Linked DNA regions of Macaca mulatta. The protein of the gene in region 5 interacts with the protein of the main gene of each other region in a pairwise test. Links are inferred from orthologs where the notes say so. Each region holds a gene or a part of one and is shown on either strand. Other genes may lie near its edges. The genes, in order: HIP1, BAG3, UBQLN1, STAM2, LITAF and REEP6.

The links.
Region 1: the proteins of LITAF (region 5) and HIP1 interact in binary tests that used the Homo sapiens proteins (3 or more experiments, as listed by UniProt). The link is inferred for Macaca mulatta from reciprocal best matches to the Homo sapiens genes LITAF and HIP1.
Region 2: the proteins of LITAF (region 5) and BAG3 interact in binary tests that used the Homo sapiens proteins (3 or more experiments, as listed by UniProt). The two-hybrid records come from large-scale screens. The link is inferred for Macaca mulatta from reciprocal best matches to the Homo sapiens genes LITAF and BAG3.
Region 3: the proteins of LITAF (region 5) and UBQLN1 interact in binary tests that used the Homo sapiens proteins (3 or more experiments, as listed by UniProt). The two-hybrid records come from large-scale screens. The link is inferred for Macaca mulatta from reciprocal best matches to the Homo sapiens genes LITAF and UBQLN1.
Region 4: the proteins of LITAF (region 5) and STAM2 interact in a two-hybrid assay, tested with the Homo sapiens proteins (4 studies listed by BioGRID and IntAct). The two-hybrid records come from large-scale screens. The link is inferred for Macaca mulatta from reciprocal best matches to the Homo sapiens genes LITAF and STAM2.
Region 6: the proteins of LITAF (region 5) and REEP6 interact in binary tests that used the Homo sapiens proteins (3 or more experiments, as listed by UniProt). The two-hybrid records come from large-scale screens. The link is inferred for Macaca mulatta from reciprocal best matches to the Homo sapiens genes LITAF and REEP6.

What each region holds. Positions count from the first base shown.
Region 1 is NC_133408.1:50,694,224-50,697,723, reverse strand, and holds part of HIP1 (huntingtin-interacting protein 1), read right to left. Parts: intron 3,083-3,500; exon of another isoform or gene 2,094-3,082; intron 1,616-2,093; coding exon 1,514-1,615; intron 977-1,513; coding exon 833-976; intron 376-832; coding exon 240-375; intron 1-239. UniProt on the Homo sapiens protein: Plays a role in clathrin-mediated endocytosis and trafficking. Involved in regulating AMPA receptor trafficking in the central nervous system in an NMDA-dependent manner. Regulates presynaptic nerve terminal activity.
Region 2 is NC_133414.1:131,769,942-131,773,441, reverse strand, and holds part of BAG3 (BAG family molecular chaperone regulator 3), read right to left. Parts: intron 2,501-3,500; coding exon 2,099-2,500; intron 1-2,098. UniProt on the Homo sapiens protein: Co-chaperone and adapter protein that connects different classes of molecular chaperones including heat shock proteins 70 (HSP70s), e.g. HSPA1A/HSP70 or HSPA8/HSC70, and small heat shock proteins (sHSPs), e.g. HSPB8.
Region 3 is NC_133420.1:114,608,009-114,611,508, forward strand, and holds part of UBQLN1 (ubiquilin-1), read right to left. Parts: intron 2,649-3,500; coding exon 2,533-2,648; intron 1-2,532. UniProt on the Homo sapiens protein: Plays an important role in the regulation of different protein degradation mechanisms and pathways including ubiquitin-proteasome system (UPS), autophagy and endoplasmic reticulum-associated protein degradation (ERAD) pathway.
Region 4 is NC_133417.1:57,077,680-57,081,179, forward strand, and holds part of STAM2 (signal transducing adapter molecule 2), read right to left. Parts: intron 2,409-3,500; coding exon 2,333-2,408; intron 2,229-2,332; coding exon 2,130-2,228; intron 1,424-2,129; coding exon 1,277-1,423; intron 1-1,276.
Region 5 is NC_133425.1:12,701,297-12,705,455, forward strand, and holds the start of LITAF (lipopolysaccharide-induced tumor necrosis factor-alpha factor), read right to left. Parts: upstream 2,801-4,159; 5' UTR 2,796-2,800; coding exon 2,576-2,795; intron 1-2,575.
Region 6 is NC_133424.1:2,181,405-2,185,702, reverse strand, and holds the end of REEP6 (receptor expression-enhancing protein 6), read right to left. Parts: intron 2,738-4,298; coding exon 2,644-2,737; intron 2,564-2,643; coding exon 2,425-2,563; intron 1,663-2,424; coding exon 1,494-1,662; intron 1,338-1,493; coding exon of another isoform or gene 1,257-1,337; intron 747-1,256; coding exon 709-746; 3' UTR 501-708; downstream 1-500. UniProt on the Homo sapiens protein: Required for correct function and survival of retinal photoreceptors. Required for retinal development.

The DNA.
Region 1 (3,500 bases), on a different chromosome or scaffold from region 5:
GTAAGACCCTATCTCAAAAAGAAAAAAAAAAAAAAAAAAGAAAATACTAGTGTACAGGTTCTAATGCACAGAGTTTCCAAATGTAACTGATCTAGGATGGGGCCTGGGCACCCGTAAGCTAATGCTGACATGCTGTGGGGCTGAGAGCCCCTGAGCTAAGTCTCACATGAGATTCACCATCAATAGAGGGTCAGGCTGTAAGCACCTGGCCCCTGCCAGCCGGGCAGTTGCAAGTGTACCTGCAGACCCAGCGCAGCTGATGAGAGGAGGTTCTTCAAGCTGGTTCAGGGCGTCTTGTATCACCTGCTCCGCAGCCTTCCTGGACCCCACCAGAAGCATTTTTCGTTGGTCTTTGGCAAGCTGGCACATAGATTCCTAAAAACGGTCCAGGGAGGTGAGAGTCTGCCCTAGACTCCATCATGAACCTGAGCAGCATGACCTGGCTGGGGCTCCTAGCATCTCAGCTCAAGTCATGGCCAATGAGGTCCAAGCCAGTAAGCCTGAGACAGAGAAAGGCGCTTTAGCTGTGTGCACGGGGTGTGTGGCCGCCCACGGAGGCTGTGCGGAGGGATCACTGCACCCCGTTCTCATGGCTGGGAGGGAATGCCAAACTTCCCTTCTGATACAAAAAAGACAGCACTCTGCTTTCCCTCATGCGCTCTGCAGGCAGTGCAGGGCCTGCTGGCATCACACCTACAGAATGTCTGCACAATTGGGCCAAGGCCCCAAACTCCTTCTCAGCAGCCCTGGGGTCCTCCTGGCCTCCGTGCATGCGCAGAGGCCCTCAGTGGGAGTTCACAGGCGCTTGCTTGTGTCTGTGTCTGTGACTTGCCTCTGTGCTGGCCAGTTTGAGCTGAGTGTCCTGCAGTTCTCTCCGAAGAGCGGATAATTCCTCGTCTCTATGAGCTGCGCCGCTCACCAGGCTGTCCCGCTCCTTCTCTAGCTCGGCGATCTGGGCTGCCCAGTTTGCTTCTGACTGCAAAGGTGACCACAAGGAAAGAGGGAGACACTGGTTGAGTTAAACAGTCCCTATTTCTCAGAGGTCCAACCCATCACCTGGCTACAAGGACTGGGAAAGTGATAGCTCTTTAATCTGCCACTCTGATTCCCTCTCGCACTGATTATAGCTGGGGCCGACTTGGCAGGTTAAGGATGGTGGATGACAGCAATGCCAAAGCCAGGGGTGGGGCAAGAAAGGAGGCCGGGCGTGGAGGCTCATGCCTGTAGTCCCAGCACTTTAGGAGGCCGAGGTGAGAGGATCACTTGAGCCCTGGAGTTTGAGACCAGCCTGGGCAACATAGTGAAACCTTGTTTTTACCAAAGAAATACAAAAATTATCTGGGCGTAGTGGCTTGTGCCTGTAGTCTCAGTTACTTCGGGGGAGCTAAGTGGGGAGAATCACCTGAGCCCAGGGAGGTGGAGGCTGCAGCGAGCTGAGATCACACTACTGCATTCCAGCCTGGGTGACAGAAGAAGACCCCATCTCAATAAAAAAGAGAAAGGCGGTATTTACCTGGGCAGAAGTTTCCAGGCTGCCTTGGAGAACCTGAAGCTCCCGTTGGCTTGTGGCGAGTTCTTGCTTCAAGCTCTCTAGAACTTCCAGCTGTTCTTGAGTCTGAAAGAGAAGAAAAACAGAGGGACTCTGATCTGGGTGGTAGTGACAAAGAATATAAAAACGTAAACATGTCCCAAGCGATCAATAAGAGATCTGTAAACTCTACTGTATGTAAGTTACACCACCCAAAAAAGTGCAGGGTGTGGGAGGAGGAGGCGAGACCCCAGAGTGTACTGAAAATGTGGAATGTCAAGGAAGGAATTTTTATTATTTATTTATTTATTTATTTATTTATTTATTTATTTTTGAGACAGAGTCTCACTCTTGTCGCCCAGGCTGGAGTGCAGTGGTGCAATCTCGGCTCACTGCAACGTTTACCTCCCAGGTTCAAGCAATTCCCATGCCTCACACTCCCGAGTAGCTGGGACTACAGGCGCCCGCCACCCTGCCTGGCTAATCTTTATATTTTTGGTAGAGACGGGGTTTCACCATGTTGGCTAGGCTGGTCTCGAACCCCTGACCTCAGGCGATCCTCCAGCCTTGGCTTCCCAAGGTGCTTGGATTACAAGTGTGAGCCACTGTGCCTGGCCTCCAGGAAGGAATTTTAGAAACATTTCCCAAATGTCATGCTTAAGTCCATAATACTAAAGGCAAACTGGGTCTTAAATTCAGGCATCCCAACAGCTGGTATATGGCTGAACTACAGCACCTCGCCATTCCCAGATGACTCTCTTTCTTTGATTTCTTGATGGTGTTTGTCAAAGGGTGGGTTGTGACTCCTTAGTAAGAATTCACAGCTAACATTTAAAAAAATGGATTAAATAGAACAGAAAATAGCCAAATGAATTCACGTAGTAAGGATAAGTATTGCTTGGTGAAACTTACTTGTATTTCCATGAGATAGATGTAGTTTTTTATGTGGGGTCACAGAAAAGTGTGAAAGTCACTCCTCTAAATCTAGGACATTTGGTTTGATCTGTCCCATATCTCTAACTCCACCTCTAAGCCTCCAATCTGCCTGTCGGTCCTGCCCCAACACAGTGGTGTTCTCTGTTTTTTTTTGAGATGGAGTCCCGCTCTGTTGTCCAGGATGGAGCACAGTGACATGATCTCAGCTCATGCAACCTCCGCCTCCTGGGTTCAAGCAATTCTCCTGCCTCAGACTCTCAAGTAGCTGGACTACAGCCATGAGCCACCATGCCCGGCTGATTTTCTTGTATTTTTAGTAAAGATGGGGTTTCACCATGTTGGTCAGGCTGGTCTTGAACTCCCGACCTGAGGTGATCTGCCCGCCTCAGCCTCCCAAAGTGCTGGGATTACAGGTGTGAACCATTGTGCCTGCCTCTTTTTTTTTTTTTTTTTTCTAATAGAGACAGGTCTCACTCTATCGCCCAGGCTGGGGTGCAGAGGGGCAATCATAGCTCACTGCAGCCTCAATCTCAAACTGGGCTCAAGCAATTTTCCCACCTCAGCTTCCCAAGTAGCTAGGATTGCAGGCATAGATGCTACTACACCTGGCTAATTTTTACTTTTTTTTTTTTGTCTTGCTCTGTTGCCCAGGCTGAAGTGCAGTGGCACGATCACAGCTCACTACAGTGTCAAACTCCTGGGCTCAAGCAATCCTCCTGCATTGGCATCCCAAGTAGTTGGAACTACAGGCATGCATTACCATGCCCAGCTAATTTCTTAATTTTTTTTTTTTTTTTTAGATGGAGTCTTACTGTCACCAGGCTGGAGTGCAGTGGCATGATCTCTGCTCACTGCAACCTCTGCCGCCTGGGTTCAAGTGATTCTCCTGCCTCAGCCTCCCAAGTAGCTGAGACTACAGGCGCCCGCTACCATGCCCGGCTACTTTTGTGTATTTTTAGTAGAGACGGGGTTTCACCATGTTGGCCAGGAGAGTCTCGATCTCTTGACCTCATGATCCACCCGCCTCGGCCTCCCA
Region 2 (3,500 bases), on a different chromosome or scaffold from region 5:
CAAAGTGCTAGGATTACAGGTGTGAGCCACTGCGCTTGGCCTTATCTTGGCTCTTATTCATGTAAGTGAATATCTAAAACCTTTTTTAAAATCTCACCCTAATTTCATCAACTGGGAAATAACTAGACTATATTATTTCTAAACTATTCCCAGTTTACAACACTCAATTCCACTATAATGTTCAGTGAGGTGAAATCCTGGAAAGCCTCCCGAAAGGGAACTTTGCATCAGCTCTAAAAGGGAAGTTACCACAAACATGGTTAATGGGGGTAAAAACAGGATGAGATAGTGTTTCACTGATTATGAGAAATACATGGGAATGATTTGGATAAAATATCCCTCTCTCTACAAATGGGCCCCTCCTAGGATTGCTGAATCCGAGTATGGATCTGGTGTGAGACGTAGCTGTCTACACCCCAGCAACCTCCTTTTCCATCAAATCTCTTTCGCCAATCCAGACATCCTCAGCTTTGGCCCTTACCACTCACAACCCAACCACGCACCCCTCCCAGGTTCTGACAACAAGACGGCTGTGTAAGAAGTGACTTTAGAAACACTTTAGAGAGGGTGTTCCACGGCCTGTGCTTTTCAAAAACATCAAGGCTGTGAAAGTCAAGAAAGGCCGAGGAACTGTCCCAGACTGAGGGAAGACTAAAGAGAAGTTGCGTCTAAATGCAGTGCTCATGATCCTTGTTTCAATCCTGGAAGACATCCTGGAAGTGGGGACAAACTGCTATAAAAAAGATTAGAAAATGGGCTGTGCACTGGATAATAATGTTGTAAGAATGTTAAATTTCCTGAATCTTGTAAGTCTGCCACGGTTATGAATGAGAATGTCTTCCTCTTAGGAAAATATTTGCTATTCAGGGGAAAAGGGACATTACATCTACAAATAATTTTCAAACAGTTAAAACACATCACTAATACGAGAGAGAGAAGAAATGACAAGACGAATGCAGACATGTTGACAAACAGTGAACTGGATGAAGTGTATGTGGGACTCTGTATGATTCACACAACTCTTCTATCAGGTTGAAATTATTTCCAAATAAAAAAAATTTTTAAGAGGAGGGTGCTCTATTCCAGCGCCCTGGCCAGTGTGACCATTTGTAATAAAAGAATAACCCATGTTTGTTCACAAGGAGTTTTCCTCTTTAAAAACTGTAGCATTCAGCTGCTGGAGTTGCAGCCACAGGGGGCCCAGGGCTGCTGACTGTTCTGCTGCTAGGCTGCAAGCTGCTCACACTAAATGACATCCTCTTCCAGGAACCTGCACCTCGTGTCTCCACTGGAAGATAACCAGACCCCTGCCTACAACCTTCCCCAGGCCAGCACGGCTTCCAATCCACCATAGCTGGCGGATGCCTCAGCCAGACCACATGGTACCTGATTACACAGGGAGGAGGGGCGTTAAGACATGGGCCCTGTGGTCAGGCTCAGCCCTAAGCTAAAGAGATAAAATGAACACTTCTGAAATACCCAGAATAATCACATGTTGAACTCATACAAGTTGGGAGTCTCTCATTAAGGGACTCATATGAGGAGTCATGAGATGAGAAGGATGAGTAGGCTTCATGGAGGAGACAAAACTGGCTCATCCCTCGGAGGACGGAGAGAACCTGTACTGTGCAGGCATTTCAGGGAGCGGGTTCAGCATGGGCAAAGGCACAGGGGTGGGAATGAGCAGAATGGGCCTGCAGAGTGGAGTGGGTAACTGAGCGGAAGGTGACGCGCTGCCTACGCCCAAGATGAGGCTGTGGCTGCAGTGTGGATGGGGGTGTGAAGAGCCCTGAAAGGGTGTGGTGGGCACTAAGGAACCTGGTCCCAGCTATGTAAGTTCTTCCAAGCTGTTTCTTCTGCCCTAAGTCAGCCGCAATGCACAATGATCAGCCCAGCATAAGCTGCAGAGTGCGGAGGGCCTGAGCAATTGTCCTGAATTTCTGTTAATACCTAGCAGTTTCTCAAATCTCACTTCCCTCCAGGTACACACATGTTAAATAGGCAGGGATAAAGGGGGAACCCAGGGCACCCCACAGAGCTCCTGTAGCCCTGGAGACATACCACCATAACCAGTCTGCTGACGACTAACTTCCCGTACCTGAGGCCTGTCGACCACGGTGTGCACACGGATGGGCGAGGGGGAGTGGAGTGGCGTGCTGCTCCTGGCTGGTGAGCCCTCCCGGCTCGATGCACTCTGGACAGGTGACCTGAATGGGGAAGCTGCCCGCAGGGGCCGGGGCTCCCAGTCATCCCCTTGGATCTTGTGGTATACAGGCTGGTGGGTCTGGTACTCCCCCTGCTGCGCTGGGTAGTGCGTCTTCTGGGCTTGGTGGAAGGAGGGCTGGGCTGCTGGCCGGGTAACGTTCTGCTCGTGTATCACCGGAATGGAGATGTACCCCCGTGGGAGCTGGTGACTGCCCAGGCTGCTCCTGCCGGAGGAAGGCAGGCTAGCCGAAGAGGATGAGGATGAGCAGTCGGAGGCAGCTGGAGACTGGGACCGCTGCAAGAGACACAGGGTAGAGGGCATGACCCCACGAATGAACCCCCTGCCGTGGCATCCTGACCATGCCTTCTGCTGTGCACCTCCTCAGGGCAATCCATATCGTAAGACCTCCTATCTGTAATTTTCAATTTTCAAAGTGTGGGGTTAAGACTGGGAGCTTTGGGGCTGGGCGCGATGGCTCGCGCCTGTAATCCCAGCACTTTGGGAGGCCTAGGTGAGCAGACAACCGAGATCAGGAGTTCAAGACCAGCCTGGTCAACATGGTGAAACCCCATCTCTACTAAAAATACAAAAATTAGCCGGGCGTGGTGGTGGGCACCTGTAGTCCCAGCTACTCAGGAGGCTGAGGCAGGAGAATTGCTTGAACCCAGGAGGCAGAGGTTGCAGTGAGCTGAGATCGCACCACTGCACTCCAGTCTGGGCGACAGAGAGACTCCATTTCAAAAAAAAAAAAACCACACACACAAAACAAAGACTGAAGGCTTTGGAGTCAAGGGGCCTAGGTTCAAATTCCTAGTAATTCAATCATTTTCTAAGCTTCATTCAAAATATAGGAAGAGTGGGCTGGGCGCAGTGGCTCACGCCTGTAATCCCAGCACTTTGGGAGGCCGAGGTGGGAGGATCACAAGGTCAGGAGATAAAGACCATCCTGCCTAACACAGTGAAATCTCATCTCTACTAAAAATACAAAAAATTAGCCGGGGGTGGTAGTGCACGTCTGTCGTCCCAGCTACTTGGGAGGCTGAGGCAGGAGAATGGCTGAACCTGGGAGATGGAATTTGCAGTGAGTCGAGATCGTGCCACTGCACTCCAGCCTGGGCAACAGAGCGAGACTCCGTCTCAAAACAAAAACAAACAAACAAAAAAACAAAATATAGGAAGAGCACCCCCTCCCTCACCGGGCTGCTCTGAAGATGACGTCAGTCACCTGGGCATGTGCCTCAGCCCCAGGCCAGCACACAGGAAGCGCTCATACAGGGGATGTGTTGTCCTCATT
Region 3 (3,500 bases), on a different chromosome or scaffold from region 5:
GGGCTGAAGCTTTCAGCCCCACCCACCAAGAAAGTGAGGGAAGGGAGCTGGAGATAGAGCTCTATGCAAATTCTTGAACAATAAGATTAAGAAAACTCAACATGAAAAGCATATCTGAGTGTTAGGAGAGTTGTGCGCTGAGGGGACCTGGAACCTTTGAGCTGAACTTCCATGCCCCACATACCTTGTGCCCTTATAATTCTCTGTCAAGATTTGTCTGTTTCTGAGTTGTATCCTTTATAATAAACAGGTAAACGTATAAGTGTTTTCTTGAGTTCCAGGTGCCATTCTAGCAATTATTGAACCTGAGGAGGAGGTCAGGGGAACCCCCAATTTAGAACTGGTCAGTCAGAAGTACAGGTGGCCTAGAACTTGTGACCAGTATCTGAAGTAGGGGCAGTCTTGTAGGACTAAGTCTGCTAACTTGTGAGATCGGATACTAACTGTAGGTAGGCAGTATCAGAAAAGAAACTGAATCTTGGACACAGAGCTGGTGTTGGACAACTGGCTGGTGTCAGAAAAAAACACTCCAGAATATGCCAGCTAAAGGAAGAAATAATAAATACACACACCAGACTATAGTTCTAATAATCTTTCCAAAAGACTAGTTTAAGTTCTATTAACAGGAAGCAGAATTCACCTATAAACTCTGGGTACAAGAGGGCTGATACTGCCAATCAAGGATACAGAAAGCCAGGGAACACTTGGAAATAGATTTCTCTTTGGAGGACTTAAACCAAGGAGAAACCTAACAGAGCAACAGGATGACCAAATGCTTACTTTGGTAATCACAAAGTGTTTACTTTGTAAAATTACATAACCAACCAAATGCATTCATTCCTCACTTACTAAGCACTTTTTATATATGCCAGAGACTGTGCTACACATGTATTGAGAATAAGGCAAAGAGAAAGACATTCTCAGAACTCAATCTAGTGGGAAAGACAGACAAGAAAATAAATGGCTACACAGATGTTAAGTACTTCAGTAAAGAATATTCACAGGATATTATGGTAATATAACCTAAGTGGAATGCCTACTTTCAGAAGAAGAGACAACACTTAATGAGTCTGGAGCATAAATACTTTGCAAGGAAACGTAAAGAAGGTTAGGAGGGGGACTGAATACTAGGCACAATGAACACCATATACAAAAAGCACAGAGATAAATGTATTAATGCATTCTTGAAACCACAAAAACTTCAGTATGACTAACTACAGTAGCAGATTGCAGTGCTCACCAAACATTTCATTTTTGCAGCCTTATTATTTCTTTTGCACTTGGACAGGCCTATGTGAAATGCCAAAGGACTACAAGAAATGGTATGTGCCACTTCTGGTCAAAGTATAGCAGGTTCAACTTAAAACCCTTTAGCTGTCTCTTCTGCCATGTTCCAAACGGTAGAGCTATAATACAGCAGAATGAAAAACGACTTTCATTACCTTGAGTCTCTGAGGGACTATATGGACGGGCACCTTACAAACCGGTAAAAAGCAAGTAGCATGCAGAAAAATGTAGCAAGAAATGAAGCTTTGTTGTAATAAGCCACTGAGTTTGGCTATCTATTATCAAAAGATAATGGATAACAGCACTTCGGGGGATCACAAGGTCACGAGATCTACACCATCTGGGCTAACACAGTGAAACCCTATCTCTACTAAAAATGCAAACAAATTAGCCGGGCGTGGTGGCACACTCCTGTAATCCCAGCTACTCAGGAGGCTGAGGCAGGAGAATCGCTTGAACCCGGGAGGTGGAGGTTGCAGTGAGCCCAGATCACGCCACTGCACTCCAGCCTGGGCAACAGAGCAAGACTCTGTCTCAAAAAAAAAAAAAAAAAAAAAAATCTTCCACAGAACCTCAATATATAAATCTAATACAGGCCAGGCACAGTGGTTCACATCTGTAACCCCAGCATTTTGGGACGCCAAGGCAGGACGCCGTAAGCCAGGAGTCTGCAGCTGCAGTGAGCTATGATGGCACCACTGCACTCTAGCCTCAGTGACTGAGCAAGATCCTGCCTCTCTTAAAAAATAAAACAAAACTAATATAATAAAAGCAAAAGCAGTTTTAGGCTAGGCTGGCTTCCCAGACCCCTTTCCATGTGTTCAGGACAGTTACAAAATAACTAATGCAGTCTGATTCTTTCCTTTTACTGATGAAAAAATTATGATCCAGGGACGCTGGCTTATGATTAATAACCAGCTAACAGAGCGAGATTCCGTCTCAAAAAAATAAATAAATAAATAACCAGCTAATCTTACTCATACTAAATTATGTGGTAGTCAGATCAGGTACACACACACTACATCTCTTTCATTACTAAAAAGAAAGGCACCAACTGATATGTAAGAATATCCATATCCCTACCTATTTCCTTAATATCTACAATTATAGGAATATATAAGTTTTTTTTTTAATTTTTGTTGTTAAAGTGACATAACGTTTTCTTTTCTCATTTTATCTGAAGCTACCCAGGAAGGGAAAGGAGTATTTTTTCCCATCCCTATGGAGATGACTAAAGACACTTACCTAAACCAAAAGGGTTGCTAGTAGCAGAACCAGATGTGGAGTTACTATTAGGAGTTGATGATGTGGTAACATTGCTTCCAGCGGTATTTGTTTGCTGAGCTGAATGATCCTGAGGCCTAGGGAAAATAATTAATCACAGAGTAAGCAGTAGAGCTGATTATTTTTGAAAGAACCACTGAAATCCTGACATCTAGAAATAAAGAGTAAACTCTCAGATGAAATCAAATTATCATTTAATAAAAAGCCTGAGAAAACTAAGCGTTAGGAACAAAAAGTACAAAATAAAATAAAATCCTGCAAAATACAAAATATGCTGCAATTGCCCCTCCTCTCTGAGTATAACGTACATAAATATTTCATTAGTTTTAATCATATTGCTTATGTAACAGAGGGAGATAGATTATTTCATAAGAGGGAAGTCAGTAACCAGTTACACCCACAAAGTTTGACTATATAAAAAACTTCTTTATCTTGGCCAGGTGTGGTGGCTCACGCCTGTAATCCCAGCACTTTGGGAGGCCGAGGCAGGTGGATCGCCTGAGGTCAGGAGTTCAAGACCAGTCTGGCCAACATGGTAAAACCCTGTATCTACTAAAAATACAAAAATTAGCCAGGAGTGGTGGTGCATGCCTGTAATCCCAGCTACTCAGGAGGCTGAGGAAGGAGGATTGCTTGAACCTAGGAGGTGGAGGTTGTAGTGAGCCAAGATTGTACCACTGCACTCCAACCTGGGCGACAGAGTGAGACTCTTTAAAAACAAACAAACAAAAAAACCCACAACTTTTTTATCTATCCCCTTCTAGTTTTTGAGGGTTATGAGCCAGTTTTACTAAGGCCCCTGAAATTCTTGAAAACAATAAAAAGTGAGAGTTCACCAAAAGAAAGTCAATCAATATGATTAATAATTATTACCTTTTTTTTTTTTTTTTTAAAGACAGAGTCTTGCTCTGTCACCCAGGCTGGAGGTG
Region 4 (3,500 bases), on a different chromosome or scaffold from region 5:
GCAGAAAGGACAGAACAGGAAAATGTTTCCTTTTTATTATTTACAAGACTTTTGTCTCAAAACTCTACCTTGTACTCTTAGGTCTGGTCAGTTATAATCTTTTTTCAGTTGGTGTGGCTCATGCCTGTAATCCCAGCACTTTGGGAGGTCGAGGCAGGTGGATCACCTGAGGCCAGAAGTTCGAGACCAGCCTGGCCAACATGGTGAAACCCCATCTCTACTAAAAATACAAAAAATTAGCCGGGCCTGGTGGTAGGAGGCACCTGTAATCCCAGCTATTCTAGAGGCAGAGGCAGGAAAATTGCTTGAACCCAGGAGACAGAGATTGCAGTGAGCCGAGGTTGCGCCACTGCACTCCGGCCTGGACAACAAGAGCGAAACTCCGCCTCCAAAAAAAAAAGCATCTTTTTTTCTCCTTAATCTATGATCTAAAAGAAAAAATATAGTACTTCTCATAGTCTCTTTCCCTAGCCCATATCCTAATATTAATGGCAGGGAATAAGGTACCGAGAGCAAAACCCAAGGAATAGTATTTTCCTCCCCTAGATCTAAAAAAACAAAAAAACAGCCCACTCCATGAGTCAACATCCCTGCCTCCACACCCCGGTTCTACTAAAGCTATCCCCTCTCCCAGCAAATAAATTTCTAGTCTTACATTTCCATCTATCTTATATGTAAAGCATTCACTCTAGGCATTTTCACTCTTCAACAAACAAGTCTTGAGCCTCTCAATTCCATGAATTTGTTGATTTCACTTATCTCCTGGTGTGACTTCTTCACTTCTAACAAAATAGTAATACATTCAAGTTTCAAAATTCTAACTCTTTACCTTCTTCACCATTCCAATCGGTAGTCACTTCTTTCTCTCTTTAGTATTGAGACAGATAGCATACAGTCTATTCCCCTCATCCTATGTTTGTCACTTACAATCTAAATTAGTTATTTTTCACATGTATAAAGCTATCGTTCAAATTTGCTACAAATTTCTTGACTATAAGGGCTATGTCATACAACTATGCCTTTTTCATGACTGCAGACTTAGAGAAACATTAAATATACTATTTTTGTCTGATTAACTTCTCAAGGTTCTGATATGTGGAAGAAATACACAAAAACTAATATGTCTACTAAATGTAAGGAAGGCACTATGCTAGAGAGTCATTTGGGAAGTAGAGGTGGAAAATGATAATCTAGACATACCTTGCCTAGTCTTTACATAATATACATACCTTCAAACTATTACAGGGTCAACCATGGGTCTGAATGAATCTCTCACCTGAGAACCTGCTGGAGGAAAAGTAATTCCTTCCTCTTTCATAGATTTAATAGTTGCAGATATTAGACTAAACTGAGGGTCCTTCTGAAATTCTTCTGACCACTCCACCATTAAAGATTTCAGTTTTTCACATACTTTAGGATGTGCCTTTTAAGGAAAAGGAAAGGGAAATGAACACAAATCTATGGTTAAAATAAGTACTTAAATTATTTAACAAGGAGAACTACCATCAAAATTCTCTGTAATTATATGAACATCTACAAAAGTCCAGCAATTTCTAGCCTAGTTGAGTAATTGATAGATGCCTATTTACATGCTATTTCATACAAAATGACTGTTTTTAACACCAATTCCTAAGTCTTATTATAATGACAACAAATCTTTTATATTCAGAGATTATTTCCTCCATGTTTTGGAGAATGGAACCAGAGAAACTTGGATGTAAATCTTGGCTCTTCCACTTACTAGCTGCATGACCTTGGACAAGTTACTTCTAAGTCTCAGTTTTTGCATTTATAAAATAAGAATGATAAGTGAATCTAATTTCCAAGAATCTAATGCTCCAAGGGTAGTTAAGAGCATTCAACAAGACAGTATATGTAAAATGCTTAAAGCAATGACTACTTACTGGCCCTCAAAAAGGATTTGCTATTATCTACAGTATATATACTTTGGGGAGAAGAGTTTTTGGTGCTACAAATTAAAAAATCAAATATCAGAACAGTTTATTTCATTTCAATGTATCTAAAAATGACTTCATTTATAACACTTTAGTAATACCACATATAGTTATAACAACACACAATCTATGTATTTTTTAATGACTTAAATTTCTTCTGTTTTTAAAATTTACCTTATTTTTAATCACAGCACGTACTTCTGTTGCAAAATCACGGGAACATACTTCTAAATGAAATATCTTTCCACAGTTTGCCACACAAGCCCCAAGAAGCTATTAATTGAAATAAAAATTAATATACAAATGTTAAAATATTAACTTACTGTAATTAAAAACATTTAAAATTTGCGTCAAATAATAACACGACTTGTACTCACGGTTAGTGCCTGAAGAGCAACATGTGGAACCTTATGATTTACCCTTTTCATTATGGCTTTTAGGCAATCTTTCGCTCTAAAAAAAAAAAAAAAAGAGACAGACAGTTAAGTATTTATTGATAAATGTAATTCAAACATTAAGGTATTATTCTATAACCAAATACTTTTATATTTAACGGCTCAGGCCTGTAATTCCAACACTTTGGGAAGCCAAGGCAGGAGGATCACTTGAGCCCAGGAATTTGAGACCAGCCTGGACAACAAAGTAAGAACTCATCTCTATAAAAAATTTTAAAATTAGCTGGGCATGGTGGCGTGTGTCTGTACTCCTAGCTACTCAGGAGGCTGAGGCAAGCGGATTGTTTGAGCCCAGGAGGCTGCAGTGAGCTGTGTCATGCCACCGTACTCCAGCCTGGATGACAGAGAGAGACTCTGACTCAAAATAAAATAAAGTAAGTATAAAATAAAAATAAATTAAACTAAAATCCTGGAAATTTCATGTTATTAAAGGAATAAATCTATAAAATGATTGTACACAATATTTTGTTTATAGGCTCATAGAACTTTTAAAAAAAAGTATGTTGCAAATGTTGTGTATTCCAAAATCAAGAGACAAACCACTTCACAGTCTGTCAACAAACAAGAGACGTATACCAGATCTTTCCATTTCTTCAAGACAGATTTAGCTTTCAGACAGCAAAATCTTATTCTGAAAAAAATCTAACATGATATGTAAAGTATAAACATGTGAATGTACTATGAAAAGTTTTCATGTTAAAACAAATGCTTTCATCACTCTTCTAAATTTCTAACATATAGTTCAGCTAATTGCCACACCTCCCCAAAAGCACTTTTTATATTCACTTTTTTCATTTGTTAGCCTATTATATTTATATGTATATGACTCAAAGACTTTTTTGTTATATTATCTATTGTGTTATCTACTTCATTATTTAAAAGTTCCCATACATATAGAACTCCTACAGGAATTCCTTAAATAACTCACCTAAACATTGTTATCATGTATCCCTATTGTGTCAAGGCTTTCATCACGTGTGTGACTAAAGCAGATTTTCAGTTGAACTCTTTTTCATTTGTTCCTTCAGGATGAAGTTAATCCCATAAATCCAGCAACTGGGCTTTTTTAACTTTTATGTCCCAAAAGTAC
Region 5 (4,159 bases):
ATTCAGTCTCAAAAATAAATAAATAAATCTTAACCAGCCTCACACTGTGACTAGCAGCCCTTGATAAACAATCCACTCTTTTTACCCAGACCCTTTGATAAACTCTGACACCCAATGATAAGGGTAGAGTTTACCTAGCCAGGAAATGCAGGTCTACTCTATAAGACAATAAGCTCGTGAACTGTGTTGACACAAGAAATGAAAATATGAAATAATGCTCGGAAGAAAAAGCTATGTGAAACCATGTTTGAACATTCACAAGAATCAGAAGAGAATCCATTCCGGGTGCAGTGGCTCACACCTGTAATCCCAGCAAATCCCTTGGCTTTCGGAGGCTGAGGCGGGTGAATCACCAGAGGTCAGGAGACCAGCCTGGCCAACATGGTGAAACCCTGTTTCAAAAGACAAAAATTAGCCAGGCATGGTGGCACGCGCCTGTAGTCCCAGCTACTTGGGAGGCTGAGGCAGGAGAATCATTTGAACCCGGGAGACAGAGGTTGCAGTGAGCTGAGATCACACCACTGCACTCCAGCTTGGGCAACAGAACAAACTCTATCTCAAAAAAAAAAAAGAGAATCCAGGGTGATGACAATCATTAAGCACTTCAGTTGTTAAGCTCATATTTTTGTCAAAGCAACTTCCTTCTCTTCCTTTTTACGTTGTTAGAATGCCATTTATGTAACAAATGGATTAGGAGAATATTACTACCTAGAGTTAACTGAACTTAGTAATACTCACAGATAAGACCCTCCTTCCAGAAAAGTAGTATTGAATCATACTTGAGCACTTACGTGAAATTTTTTTTTTGAGGAGGGGCCAGAGTCTTGTTCTGTTGCCCAGGCTGGAGTGCAGGGGTATAATCATAGCTCACTGGAACATCAACCTCCTGGGCTCAAGCAATCCTCCCACCTCTGCCTCTCAAGTAGCTGGGACTACAGGTGCAAGCCATCACACTCGACTAATTTTATTTTCATAGAGACAATGTCTCACTATGTCACTCAGGCTGATCTGGAACTCCTGGCCTCAGGTGATCCTCCTGCCTCCGTAGCTAGGATTACAGGCACAAGCCACCACACCCAGTTCATACATTTTATTAAGTGTTTTTAGGGTTCAAAAATAAGTTATTTGGGCCAGGCTCTGTGGCTCATGCTGATAATTCTGACACTTTGGGAGGCCAAGGGAGGTGGGAAGATCGTTTAAGCTCAGGAGTTAAAGATCAGCCTGGTAACACAGTGAGATCCCATTTCTACAAAAATTTAAAAACTAGCCAGGTGTGGTGGTGTATGCCTGTAGTCTCAGCTATTCCAGAGACTGAGGTGGGAGGATCACTTGAGCCCAGGAGGCCCAGGTTATAGCGAGCCATGACTGCACCACTGCACTCCAGCCTGGGCAACATGGTAAGAAACTGTCTCAAAAAAAAAAAAAAAAAAAAAAAAAAAAGAAACTATGGATCACAGGATGGTCTAAGAATCCAGCTCAAGCGGTCAAAATAACTTGAACACAACAATAAGAATTCACTTTTATCGAATGAGTACTCTGTATTTGGCACACAGAACTTCCTTTCATGTTAACAACCCACTGATATTTGTAAATAGGTACTGGATGAAACCTGTTTTACAAATGGGGAAGCTGAGGCACAAGGAGGTTATGTGAACCCAGGTGGTCTGATTCACGGGTCCCCTCTCTGAGCTAAAGATTTCTTCCAGAACTGCTTGTAATACTGAAGCAGTGACATACCAGGGCACACTTGGGCAGAAGGAAGCACCCAAGGCCAGGGACCATCTGGTTGCTCAAAAGCAGAAGAGCAACTTGCGTTGAGGGTGAGCTGGTATGAAAACACAATCACACACTGCTCAGGACAGTTTCTTCTCCCTGTTCCTACCTCAGCCCTGGCCTCAGGGCAGAAGTTCTGCATCAGACCTTAGGAGGAAGGGTGGGGGCCCTTAAGACACAAACTCCCATTCTCAGAAGAAAGTTGGTTGTGCCTCCGTGAGACATGCCAAATGATTCGTATATGATGATCATGGGAAGATCCTAAACCATACTTCATTATAGAAAAGCCATGAGCCTCACCAACATGGAATCTAAAAGACTGTGTGTGGCCGGGCGCGGTGGCTCCTGCCTGTAATCCCAGCACTTTGGGAGGCCGAGGCTGGCGGATCACAAGGTCAGGAAATTGAGACCATCCTGGCGAACACGGTGAAACCCCGTCTCTACTAAAAATACAAAAAAAATTAGCCGGGCGTGATGGCGGGTGCCTGTAGTCCCAGCTTCTAGGAGGCTGAGGCAGGAGAACAGCGTGAACCCGGGAAGCGGCAGAGCTTGCAGTGAGCGGAGATTGCGCCACTGCACTCCAGCCTGGGCGACAGAGCGAGACTCCGTCTCAAAAAAAAAAAAAAAAAAAAAAAAGACTGTGTGTGGAATTTCAAGGTAAGGGGGTAAAACTGGAACATACTGGCACTTCACTTAGACTCTTTGTCAGAGTCACTTCGGTCACTCTCCTGATTCCCACTCTCCTGACTCCCAGGGTGGAGGGTCAAGGAATGGTAAGGGAGGCCTAGGAGGCCACACGTACTTGGATTGTTATTGGGGATGGGCGCTGCCTGGGTAAAATACGAAGGAGGATTCATGCCCTTCCCATCAGGCCCTGTCACAAGCCCCGTAGTTGGCCCAGGCATGGGAGCTGGAGGCGTGGGGTAATAACTGTTAACAGCCACTGTCTCTTCATAGGATGGAGGTGCAGATGGCGCTGCGGAAGGCCCAGTGGCCGCCTGGTAAGGTCCTGGAACCGACATTTTACCTAAAACAGAAACAGAACATAACAGATAAGAAATTCAATTGATCTCTCCCTCTCTCTTTTTCACCCAAGTCTTCAATTTTCTTTCTGGCAAACAGAAATTCTGAGAAAATGACTTCAATCCAGCTTTGTCCAAAACCCAGGAAGAGGGTTAATGTCCCTTCAAGACCCCAGAATTATTATCTTAATGGATTCCCTAAATAAAAATCAAAAAGTAAATAATTTCTACCAAAAATCACCAAAACCTGGAAAATCCCAAGTGGAAACATCAACCAAATACGAGTTACTTCTTCTCCATATCTTAAACCATTACCGGACAATGACCTATCTTCCATAGCTGATGTTTCTTCTTCTTTTTTTTTTTTTTTTTTTTTGGTTTTTAAACCACTGTGGTTTTCACTAACTGTTTCAGGTAACGGAAAGGATAAAGGCATTCAAAAACCAACCACAAACTATCGCATCGCAAATAGCAAAGGGGCCAGATGCCACAAAATGAACACTGCATGATACTATTTAAATAAAGGTCAGAAATAGGCAAAATGAATTCATGGGGCGGTTACTCTTGTACTGTTGGGAGAGGAAGAAGAATCTGAAAAGGGGCACGAGGGGGCCTTTGCAGGGGGCAGGTCCTGTTCTCGTTCTTCACCTGGGGGCTAGTTACAGCGATATGTTCAGTCTGTAAAAAGCTGAGTTGTACAATTAAAATGTATATACTTTTTAGTATGTGTGTTATAGTTTTTTGTTTTTTTTTTTTTTGAGACAAGATCTCACTCAGGCTAGAGTGCAGTGGTGCGATCTCAGCTCACTGCAGCCTCCACCACCCAGGCTCAGGTGATCTTCCTGCCTCAGCCTCCCACGGACTACAGGCATGCGTCCCTGCGCTCAGCTAATGTCTTTATTTTTTGTAGAGACGGGAGGCTCACTTTAATGTCTAGGCTGGTCTTGAACTCCTGGGCGCAAGTGATCCTCCTGCCTTGGCCTCCCAATGTGTTGGGATTAAAGGTGTGAGCCACTCTGCCCAGCCTGTGTGTTATAGCTTTTTAAGAAGGAAATACACATAGACTGCAGTTCCCATTTTGAAAAATGAGCACCAGAGCAGCCAGGCACACATTTTCTTTTGTGAGGGCAAAAAAAGGATTTCCCTCCAGCCCTGGCAGAGCTGCTGCTCGCCTAGAATTACACCCTGCACCCAGAGTGTGCTCCTGTCTGACGTTCCGTGCTCCAGCAGCCATGGGGCAGCTGGAGGCAGACACAGTGCTGTTCTTTGTGTGACTGTTTTTCTAACTGGGCAGGGTTCAGGCTGCCTTAGAAGAGCCATTCAAATCTGTCTCGGGAGAAATGGGAAACGAGGCTCCAGGGCAG
Region 6 (4,298 bases), on a different chromosome or scaffold from region 5:
GCGCAGGTCTGGTCCGGGTTAGCTTTATTGGAGCCTCCTAGCAGGCCAGGTGTTTCAGGCACCAGTAGTGCTGCAGGCACGGGGGCCTGTGGTGTGGCCAGCTGCAGGTGATCTCAGTGGTGGACTCCGAAGTGTACTCCAGAGAGGTCCCGGAGTGGCAGGGGACCAGCTCGGGCACTGAGGTGCTGCTGGCAAGCTGTTTCGAGGATTGCTTCTGGCGCTGTCCGCTGGTCTTGGGGGCTGTGTCCTCTGGCTCGCCAGGGGGCTTGCTGGGAGGCTGCGTGGGGACGTTGCTGCTGCTGGGAGACTGGACCATGGGTGAGACCGGGCTGGAGGTGACGTTGGGTGGCTGCAGGGGCCTCGAGGATGGGAGGGCTGACTGGGAGGGGCCGGAGGAAGTACCAGGCAGCTGGGTGCATTGCTGAGACCGCTGGGAGCTGACCCGTGCCCGACGCTGGCCCTGGGCCTTGCCACGGCCAGAGCTGGAGGGCAGCTGGCCCTGGGATTCAGAGCTGGGGGTGGCCGAGGACTGGGACTGGGACTTGCCCGAGGTGGCATTTAAGGAGACCCCCAGGGCCTTGCCTGGACCCGAGGGACTGGCGTGGGCTGCCGTCGAGAGATGCGCTGAAGACGATGTGGAGGCCTGGGAGCCCGGTGCGGCCCCCTCCTCACCAGCCGGGAGGTCCTTGCGAGGCCCGGGGGGCTGCTTCACTTGTCCTTCGGCTGCAGGGTCTGGCTTGGCTTGACTGCAGAGAGAGGGGCAGGCGGGGGAGGGCGGTGAGGCAGGCCTGGGCTCCGCTGACTGCTCACAGGTGGGACTGAGGCTACTGGATGTGAGCATGGAAAGTCGAGGGGCCGGGCAGCCACCCTCAGCAGAGATGGTGTCGACCACACGCACGCTTTCATGGTCACCTATACATAGAGGGGTGCACACAGAGCACGCACATGTGCAGTCACACACACGCTCACACACATACATGCACACGTGGTCACACGCACACACACATGCATGCACACACACGTGCACATACACCTGTACACGTGGTCACACACACATGCACACGTGAGAAACCATGCTCCCTTGCTCACTTATACACACATGGAAACACCAAACATACGCTTGAGCCATGCACACACACACCGTCATGCACATGACAAAACATGCACGCACAATAACACATGTGCAACAGCAAACATACACTCAAACACATGCGCACACACACACACAGCTCCTACCTCCCCCACGGGTTACGTACTGTCAGCTTCCAGGGGAGTGGAGGGCCCGGCCACAGCCGCTGGAGTGACGCCTGCCCGGCTACGGGCCAGCGCCTGCAAGACTGGTTCCCGGAAGCGTGAGAGAGAGAGGCGGACAGTGAGAGGGGGCGGCCAAGATGCCAGACAGTGGGCAGTCAAAGTCAGAAAGGGAGGCAAGGTGGAGACAGGTGGAGACCCAGGAGACGGTCAGAGGCAGCCGGGCGCCTGCAAGCACCCACCGTTCCTGGTTATTCCGGCCGCCGCGTCCAGGGCTCGCCCGCTGAGGTTGTTGACGATTCTGTCCACGGCCCCGTGGTGCCTTAGGAACAGCGGGCGCACGACGCGCTGATACAGCATGAGAGCCCCGTTCCAGGGCCTGGGGGCCATGCAGAACAACAGGAAGGCGCACTGCAGGGCAGGGCAGGAGTTACACACAGCCCCACCCAGCTCTGTGCCCCTGGAGGGGAGAGAGGCTGCACTACCCCACCACATGCCCACCCTGGACAGGAACCGGGTCTCCACCATCAGACACCCTTTGGGGGGGCCCTCCACCATCAGACATCCTATTGGGATGGGCCTGGGTTTTCGCCATCAGACACCCTTTAGGGTGAGCCCTCTACCATCAGACATCCTGTAGGGTGGACCCTCCACCATCAGACATCCCTTAGGGTGAACCCTCCACCATCAGACATCCTATCGGAGCAGGCTTGGGCCTCCACCATCAGACACCCTTCAGGGTGGGCCCTCCACCATCAGACATCCTTTAGGGTGGGCCCTCCACCATCAGACATCCTGTAGGGTGGGCCCTCCACCATTAGACATCCTTTAGGGTGGGCCCTCCACCATCAGACATCCTTTAGGGTGGGCCCTCCACCATCAGACATCCTGTAGGGTGAACCCTCCACCATCAGACATCCTTTAGGGTGAGTCCTCCACCATCAGACATCCTATTGGAGCAGGCTTGGGTCTCCACCATCAGACACCCTTCAAGGTGGGCCCTCCACCATCAGCCCCCGGACAGGGCCCGTTTCCCCAGGGAAAGGACTGAGTCTTCCCCTCCCATCTCCCATCTCCTGGTATTCTTTCCTCCGGACCTCCTGGCCCCAATACCTCCCAGGAATCCCCAAGCCCCATGCGCTCCATGGCTGTACCCGCCCTGGCAGGGCCCACCTTGCCCACGTAGTAGAAAGGGAACCAGGACAGGAGTAGATCGCTGAAGAACTCGGCCAGCCCGAACAGGGCGTACACCACCCAGTAGGTGAGCCACACAGTGTCGTCGTCCTTGCTTGGGCTCTCGATAGCTTTGATTCTGCAGGGAGGCGCAGCAGGGTCAGGGGCTGCCCGGGAGCCCCCAGATCCCCCCACGTGGGCAGCCAGCCGTGCACTCACGAGGCATATGCGGGGTAAACAAATCCGATGAGATTGCACAGCAGAGACGCTCCGTATCCGAACAGCAGATACAGGCTTAGCAGAGTGACGGCTCCTGCGGGAGAGAAGTGGTGGTGTGCTAGGGCCAGGGACCTGCTGAGTCCCCATGACAGCACCCAGGCCTCCTTTCAGTCGACAGAGACTGCAACCTCCTCAGAAGCCTTGGTGATGCCTCTAGGATGTGTCCACTGCCCCCGAAGTGTCTGTGCATCCCCCCATTGTGTCCCTAGGCCCTGAGCCTTGTGCCTGTAACTGGTCAATGTGTCCATGTCCCCCACCATGGTTGAGAGCTCCCCAAGGGCAGGCAGGAGCTTGACACTGGGCAGTGGGGGTGGGTGCAGAATAGCTATCCAATAAAGTGTTTGCTGAGTGAGTAAGTGTAATCTGGCCAGATGTGGTGGCTCACGCCTGTAATCCCAGCACTTTGGGAGGCCGAGGTGGGCGGACCAGGCAGGCAGACCACCTGAGGTCAGGGGTTTGAGACTAGCCTGGCCAACATGGTGAAACCCCATCTCTACTAAAAACACAAAAATTAGCCAGACTTGGTGGCGGGCGCCTGTAATCCCAGCTACTTGAGAGGCTGAGGCGGGAGAATCGCTTGAACCCAGGAAGCGGTGGTTGCAGTGAGCAGAGCTTGAGCCAGTGCACTCCAGCCTGGGTGAGATTCTTTTTCAAAAAAAAAAAAAAAAAAGAATGAGCATAATCTGCAATGATAGGCATCTCGTTCCAGGCCCTATGGGAGGCGCTGGGAAACGAGGCTAATGTTTCAATATAAGGGATGGGTGAAGCCTGCAAGGGAGGCCAGGCTGTCATGAAGACTTGGTTCCAGAGCTGAGAAACGCAACTGTTTCATCCGTTATCTTAGTGCAGGGTTTCTCTGCCTTGGCACTGCTGATGTTCGGGGCTGGGTCATTCTTGGTTGTTTTCGGCGGGGAGGGGAGGTGGCTGTCCTGGACACTGCAGGGTGCTGAGCAGCGTCCCTGGCCTCTGCCCTCTCCATGCCATCAGCTCCCCAGTCATGACGACCACAGATATCCCTAGACATCACCCAGTGTCCCTGGGGCAGGGTGGGGGGCAGTACTACCCCCCCCGTCTTGGAGGCAGCAAACCCCAGCATCTCGGTCCCCCGGGTGGAGGAGAGCCCTTTGGTTGGCTGTGCACTCACCAGCCGGCACTGAGCAAGGCTGTGGCTGCACGGAGCCTCAGTTTCCCCCTTGGTAAGTGGGAATGGTAATGGCCCCTGCCTCTTATGGTTTCAAGTTAACAGAGAGGGCTGGGCACAGTGGTTCATGCCTATAATCCCAGCACTCTGGGAGGTTGAGGTGGGTGGATCGCCTGAGGTCAGGATTTCGAGACCAACCTGACCAACATGGAGAAACCCCATCCCTACTAAAAATACAAAATTAGCCGGGAGTGGTGGCGCATGCCTGTAATCCCAGGTACTCAGGAGGTTGAGGCAGGAGAATTGCTTGAACCCAGGAGGCAGAGGTTGTGATGAGCCGAGAACATGCCATTGCACTCCAGCCTGGGCAACAAGAGCGAAACTCTGTTGCAAAAAAAAAGTAATAACAAGTTAACAGAGAGAACTCCTTTCTGCGCGTTTATTTTTATTCATT